Linked DNA regions of Mus musculus. The protein of the gene in region 2 interacts with the protein of the main gene of each other region in a biochemical or structural test. Links are inferred from orthologs where the notes say so. Each region holds a gene or a part of one and is shown on either strand. Other genes may lie near its edges.

Region 1 (3,746 bases), on a different chromosome or scaffold from region 2:
CCCTTTGAGGGTCACATGTCAGAAATCCTGCATAGCAGATATTTTACAATTCATAACAGTAGCAAAATTACAGTTATTAAGTAGCAACTTAACTTTATGTCTGGGGGTCACTACAACATAAGGAACTATGTTAAAGGGTCACAGCATCAAGAAGGTTGAGAACCACTGGCCTAGAGGTGAATATCCTTTCTGGCCCCCAAAAATGTATCTGGGACTGAGGATTTGAGAAACATGGGTTTCTCTCCAACATCCTTTCATTTATACGTAGTCCATTTGTAGAGGCATGTATGTATATGTAATTCTGTATAACTCTCAACATTGTCATTATTTGGGGAAGGAAAGCGTCAGAGACTCTCAAGTAATAAAGTCTGGCTTGAACATCTGTCTTTTGTCCACCTCACTTGTGCTCTCTTTTCTGAGGACAAGATCTCACTTTGTAGCCAAGCAGCTCTTAAACCGAGATCCTCCTATAGCCAGGCATGGTGGCATATACCTTTTATCCCAGCATTTGAGAGGCAAAGGAAGGAAGAGCTCTCTCTCTGAGGCCAGCCTGGTCTAAATAACTAGCTCCAGAACAGCCAGGACTATGCAGAAATGCCCTGTCACAACAAGAACACAAACTGTAAAGTCTCCTCTGTAATAACATTAGCTTCTAATAGATGAAGCTGGGCGTTAGAGACTATGTGGGAAATAACAATTCTGTAAATAAGCTCTATAAAAACGGTGTTTTTATCAAGTTCATTTAAACAACCCAAGTTACCTGAACTTTGTCTTGGTGATTCAGACAGGATTTGCCCATGTCACCCACACTGTACTCAAACTTTGAATCCTCCTGCTTCAGCCTATAAAGTATTGGGACCACAGGCTTGTCCATCACACCCAGGTCCCCAGAACACTTTCCAGGTAAGCCCTGGTACCCTGGCTAGCCAAACACCACTGGCTTGCTTAGGGGTCTGTAGTCCTAAAGAGCTTCGTTCTTTAGTCTGTGAAATTCCCCTTTCTCTCGTGTGATCAAGGAGACCCCAGCTCTGCCCAAGCCCCCAAAGGTGCCCCACACTTGGGAACCAGACACTTCTTTCTCCTGTGTGTTTCAAAGTCAAGGCAAAGAGAGGAGAATCAGTCTGAACAGACTGCTACACACATTTCCCTTTCCAACAACACCCCATTACCAAGGAGTAGAAAAAAATTCCCACAGGTTAAAATCGATCCCATCTTCCTTGGTGGCCCCTTAAGAGCATCAGTGAACGAAATCCTGGGAGACAAAGACCAGTGAAACACAAGAGCAAATCCATCTGAGGAATCCGTCAGAAGAAAGAGTAGCAAGAGCAAGGAAGAATGAAAGGTGGAACTACAAAGCTGGGGGGGGGGGTGCACTTCGAAAACACACTAGTGATCCCCCCCCTTGTTTTCCCCACTGAAATGTCAGTTTTTGAAGCAGCTTCTGATAATGTCACCAGCTTCTCACGTTCTTAAAAAAGACAGGAGGCGCGTGGCGAGGGAGGTGGCTTGTTACCTCTTGACTTCTAAAGCCGGCCATCAGCCAGCCGGCCTTCCCCTCTTCCACGTTTCCATGGGGGATGGGCTTGGGAATCTCTATCAGGAAGGGCTCTGTCCTAAGTCCCAAAGTTTACCCACCCTGGTGGGTGTGTGGGTGGGGGATCCCGAATCCCAAGTCCTCCACAAGGGCGGCACCCAGTCTTCCCGGTGTTACACACTGAAAACCACTTTTCAAATGTCCGTGTGTGAGGAGGATGTCCCCTGAGATGAGATCCACAAACCACACCCGCTCAAGAGCCCTCCCAATCACTCCCTCTCTCCAGTCCCCTCTACAATCCCCCCAGAATCCTCGGGGCCCCACTTCCTGCCACGCGCCCCCCTACCCCACCCGCTGCAAATCTCAGGCCCGCGACTCTTATTTCCCGCGCCCCTCTTCGGGCTCCAAGGTCCCCACGCACACCCTCTCTGCTATCTCGCCCGCGGGCAGCAGGAGCCGCGTGTACAAGCTCGGCCCGAGTCCCCCCCCCCCCCCAACCCTCCGCCGCCTGCCCCCTCCCCGGGCGCCCGCGCCGCCGGCCTCGTGCGCCGCCGTCCCCAGGGTGTCCCCAGCACTCACGGCTGTAGAGGGCGATGCCCGCCGCGTCTGGTCCGGCGCGCACCTCAAGGCGCAGCGCCTGCTGCTCCGCGTGCCGCTGGATCTCGCCGTTCGCGTCGCCGATAGTGAGGAGGCGGGCGCCCGGGAACACAGACACTGTAGCGCAGGGCCCCGCGCCGCCCGGGCCCGCCACCCCAGCGCTCCCCGCACCCGGCCCCACCGCCGTCGCTGCCGCCGCTGCCATCTTAGGTCCGGCTCCAGGCCCCGCTGCCACCACGGCCACCGCCACCGCCGCACCCGGGCCCAGGCCGCCGCCGCCGCCGCCGCCGCCGCTGCCGCCGCCGCGCAGGCCGAGGCCGAGGCCGAGGCTGGCAGCGCGCCGCCTGCCGGCCACGCGACGCCTCGCCGCCGCCGCCGCCGCCACGGGCCGGCTCGGTGGCGCAGCGCCCCCTCCTGGCGCCTGAGGGAGCCGGGCGAGCGCAAGCACGACGGGGGTGGGGCCGGCCCCACCCCGCGGGAACGGTCGCTGCTTTGTGAGGTGGCTGAGCCTCCCGGGCAGGCCGGGTGAAGGCGCCTACGTTGGGAGGCGGTGCCCCGCAGTATGACACGCCCCCAGGGATGCTAAGCCCCGCCCCGAGGCAGCGTTGTGCGAACCGAGGCGCTTTGTGCCACCGCGCACAGCTCTGGAGAGATGGGCAGGGCATGCGTCGGGAGGCGGTGCTTAGCCTTCCCGGCACGCCCCCGGAATGATCAGGCGGCCCCACCCCCCGCTCCGGGCCGGCGACCGGTGATCCACGGTGATCCACAGCCCTTTGTACCACAGGGCGTTTCAGGAGGCAATGCTTGGCCGCTCGGACACGCCTCTGGGGCCAGACCCACCCACAGGCCGGCAGCGAGCGAACCACCATGCTTTGTGCCACTGTGAGCATAGCTCAAGAAAAGTGGAGAGGCGTGAGTCGGAGAACTAAGAAGAAACGCCTCCTCCAGGGCTGAGCTCCGCCCCTAGGCTGGCGTGCTGCGTACTCCCCCAGTACTCTTGGGGGTGAGGCGTTTGTCAGAAGGAGGCGCTCAGCTACTTTATACACCCGGAGGAGGGCTGGCTCCGCCCCCAGGAGGGACGGTTACTAGCAGAATGCAGACGGTGCTCTGCATCTTTTTGTCAAGGGACGGTGTTCTGATCCACGAAACCCTCCCTCGGAGAGTTCGGGCCCCTCCGGGCCAGTGTCCTGCAAACAACCTCTCCTGAGCTTGAGGAAAGACAAGAACCGTTTCCAAACCCAGGTGATTCGGCCACGCCCCCAAGTTAAGGTTCCGCCCTGTACGTTCCCAGGTAAGCTCCGCCTTGATCCCGTCCCACTGGTAAGAAAAGGCCCTGTGATAGGTGTGCTCTGGTTTGCAGGCTCGCACCCAGCTGGGGCCCCTTCCCATGCTGCTCTGGGATAAAGGCTTTTCAAGCCGCGCTCCAGAGCTTGGCCTTCACAAAGAACTTCAAGGCAGTAACTTTAATTCTTTAGCTTCTCCACTAGGACCTCTCCTTTTCACTAGTTAACTCTCAGGTCCCCCAGTGAACTCACAGTGGCCAGTCACTTGTTCACTTTTGCTGGGCCTCTTAGAACTCTAATTTACGTACCCCCTCCTGGGCCTCCGCAAGACT
Region 2 (3,646 bases):
TATGGCTCTCCTTTACAGAGGTGAATGACTGTGATTTCTTTGCAGCTTTCTCAGGCAGCAGCCAGCATTGATAATAGAGTCCCTACTCCCTCCTCTGTGACCAGTGCTGAAACCAGTTCCCAGCAGCCAGGACCCGATGTGCCCATGCTGGAAATGAAGACAGAGGTGCAGACAGATGATGCTGAGCCTGAACCTACTGAATCCAAGGGGGAACCTCGGTCTGAGGTAGATGCTCCCTCAGCCTTAGTCCATAGCTATGTATGGCAGCTTTACCATATATCCTCAGGACCTAACGTGGTGTTGGATATTCATTTTAACTGTTCCAGTTTTCCACAAATCTTTTTGTTAATGTTCTTCTTTCATTTTTAGTTCTGCAGAAGGGGTGGTAGATTCATTTACTGACTTAGAGCAGAAGTTGAAATCAGTAGGCCAAGAGCCAAATCCAGCCTGGGAATGTGTTTTGTTTTTGTGGGGGTTTTTGTTTTGTTTTGTTTTGGTTTTTGGTTTTTGGTCTGTGTTCAGTGTTTTAAAAATCATGAAGTTATAAATAAAACTTTAGATAGTCTGCTTTTTCTCAAAAGTTGAGCAACTCTGTCATCAGTACCCTTATACTCCTTTATGGCAGCCAGTGTCATACGTGATGTGGGTGCCACATGGTAGTGGCATGGGCTTCCCAGTTGGTCCAAGTCTCATATCACACTCTTCATCTCAGAGCACAGGGTCTTGATCCTTATTTTGATTTTTCAAGGTACCCTTATTTTCAAACTAGATGTACCAATATTTTACTGAGCATGTAAACATACTTTTATATTAAAAAAATTAAATTAGAATTATGATTGTACTGATGCTGTATAAAGTAACTAAGTAGACATCAGACATTTTGTTCCTTTTCCTAGTGGGAAACTAAAAAGAATATTTACAGTGTCTTTGACTAAGGGAGCACTCAGCAAGCTTGTGTGCTGCAGTCGTCAAGGGGAAGCTGGCCTGGGTTACAAAGGTCTCATAGACACCTGTTCTCTGTGACTCTGTCTTTCTCAAGATGATGGAAGAGGATTTACAAGGTTCTTCCCAAGTAAAAGAAGAGACAGATACGACAGAGCAGAAGTCAGAGCCAATGGAAGTAGAAGAAAAGAAACCTGAAGTAAAAGTGGAAGCTAAAGAGGAAGAAGAGAACAGTTCGAACGACACAGCCTCACAATCAACATCTCCTTCCCAGCCACGCAAAAAAAGTAGGTCACGTTTTCTGTAATGTTAGACTAAGCTGTGCTTCCACACCAAAGATTAAAAGCTGAGGCAGGAAAATAATTACAAATTCCTTTTCATGTTCCTTGTCTCTCATTCTCTAAGCTTTACCTTTGGAAATGGAGACAGCAGGGTGGCAGAGATTGCTGGGCAAACATGAAGCCCGGGGTTTGGATTCTAGCACTCGTGTAAAAGGTTGGGTGTGGCTATGCACACGTCTCTCTAACTCCAGCACCGGAGGAGTGGGGCTGACACAGGAAGTTGTAACTTGCTTGCCACCAGTCTAACTCCAGACTCAGTAAGACCTAAAGGAATAAGGCAGGGAACCAGTTGTACACTAGCATCCATGAATGCATGCAAAGGTGTGTATACCTGTACACACTCAAGTACCATAGACAGCCTTCCCCACATCCACACATTCACAGAGAGAAAAGTAACAGTAACAGACTGCGGCTAGGGAGCCAGCCCTCAGATGAGATGTCACTGACTAGAGAGGCAGACTTGGAATGCTTCTGGGTCTCTGAGCAGGGTAAGCAGTGTAGGTTCTGCAGAGCCAGGGAAAAGGTGATGAAGGAGTCAGGATGGAAAATGAGCAAAAATGCTGTAGTTTGAGACAAAGGATCACTGTCGATATCTGTGTGAGCACTGGGGGCCAGTAAGGAGCTGTGACTGGGCATGAGGTGGGAATGTGAAGCCACAGATGTGTGCACTTAGCTCAGGACAAGTAGAAATTGGGTATAGTTCGGCTAAGCTGTGTCCACAGTAAAAAGCAATAGGGTGTTGGAAAATTGTCAAGTAACCCTTGCTTAACAGGACTCTGGAAGTTGAGAGCTGCAGGTGAAAGACACGTTTCAGAAAGAGTACAATGTTGGTGGCTGAGGTAGTAAAGCTGCAGAGCTAGGAAAGGCACCTACTTCTTTTATAGTCGCCGGGTCAAAGAGGTTTTGAGTATGTGGATCATCTTGTCATTACTTTTTCCTTTTATGAAGTAAACCAGAGGAAAAAATATTTGATTTGTTTAAATTAATAAGTTTGTTAGTGGTATCATTTACCCCACCCCACCTGGAGAATAGAACCAGAACTCTACCTGTGGTATTGCTAGCCTCATTTAACACATTTGTACAAAAAAAAAAAAATCTTTTCCAAGCAAAAATAATCCAAAAATAGGACATTATTTTGTAATCTTTCAATGTCTTGAAGAGAGTTAGGCAACTAAATTAGACTCTTAAGAATAATATTTTTGGGGGGGTGGGTGGGTATGGGGGACTTTTGGTATAGCATTGGAAATGTAAATGAGCTAAATACCTAATAAAAAAAATTAAAAAAAAAAAAGAATAATATTTTTTGTGCGGGCGTGGTGGCACACGCCTTTAATCCCAGCTCTCAGGAGGCAGAAGCAGGCAGATTTCTGAGTTTGAGGACAGCCAGGGCTACAGAGAAAAACCCTGTCTCGGGGCGGAGGGTGGGGGGGAGTAATATTGTTTGAACTGTGTGAGGAACATCCATTCTCATTCCAATAACTTACTAGTGATGAGAGGAATGATACGTGGCTCTTTGGGGTAACTGGGGATAGATACTCTGGTAGATGCTTCAAGAGACAGCTAGCAGAGGCTCTCGAAGGTGAGTTGACATCATCCTTTGTGACCTGCAGAGTGCTAGGTCATTGAGTAAGTGCTGACATACCTGATGCTGTAATAACAACCCTTCCACCCCCGCTCCTCCAAATACTCACATTATCAGTTTCATAAAGCAAATCTTAAAAGGTTTTGAGAAATATCAAGCTCATGTGGCAGATATGTTTTTAAAAACATTAATTGATGACAACCCCGATTTTACCCTTGGCAACAAATACTGCCATTTGTCCTTAAAGTAACAGCTCACTTAGTTTTTGGTTGTGTTTTGTTTTGTTTTTAAAGAAAACTCTGACACAGACTAGAATTGAGTAACAGTTTTCTATCTGCCACCCTCCTTAAGATTTCTGTTTTCAGGGAGAAAAGCAGTTCCTGCTCTCAGCCCCAGTGCTGATGGTGCTGCTGGTTCCAGAGACTTGATCACAGAGCAGCATGGAGGCACACGCATCAGGGATGTGCTCAGCTGGCTGCCAGTCTTTTTCCTCTGAGTAGAGTGGCCACAAAAACTGAAAGAACCTCCCATTTTTCTTCTCAGTTAGTACTGTTGACATAGTGTATTTCTGCACTCTTCGGTAGTTTAATCTCAAAGACCCCTCAGTGAGGCTTTGCACAGTGCTGGAACAGTCAACAATGATAGATATGTTGTCACACCTGTGCTTTATTTTGTTTACTATCTGCCATGTGGGTCTTAACTACTTAAGTTGTAACAGGGTTGATTGGTAAACTGAATTGTTTAGTTTATGTAAAACTGCTTTGTTGAGCCTTCAGTATCA

What was found.
Region 1: of the proteins of Crebbp (region 2) and Carm1, one has a biochemical effect on the other in vitro, tested with the Homo sapiens proteins (4 studies listed by BioGRID, with this or other methods). The link is inferred for Mus musculus from reciprocal best matches to the Homo sapiens genes CREBBP and CARM1.

What each region holds. Positions count from the first base shown.
Region 1 is NC_000075.6:21,545,598-21,549,343, reverse strand, and holds the start of Carm1 (histone-arginine methyltransferase CARM1), read right to left. Parts: upstream 2,451-3,746; 5' UTR 2,337-2,450; coding exon 2,114-2,336; intron 1-2,113. UniProt on the Homo sapiens protein: Methylates (mono- and asymmetric dimethylation) the guanidino nitrogens of arginyl residues in several proteins involved in DNA packaging, transcription regulation, pre-mRNA splicing, and mRNA stability.
Region 2 is NC_000082.6:4,112,357-4,116,002, reverse strand, and holds part of Crebbp (histone lysine acetyltransferase CREBBP), read left to right. Parts: intron 1-45; coding exon 46-225; intron 226-1,039; coding exon 1,040-1,229; intron 1,230-3,646. UniProt on the Homo sapiens protein: Acetylates histones, giving a specific tag for transcriptional activation. Mediates acetylation of histone H3 at 'Lys-18' and 'Lys-27' (H3K18ac and H3K27ac, respectively).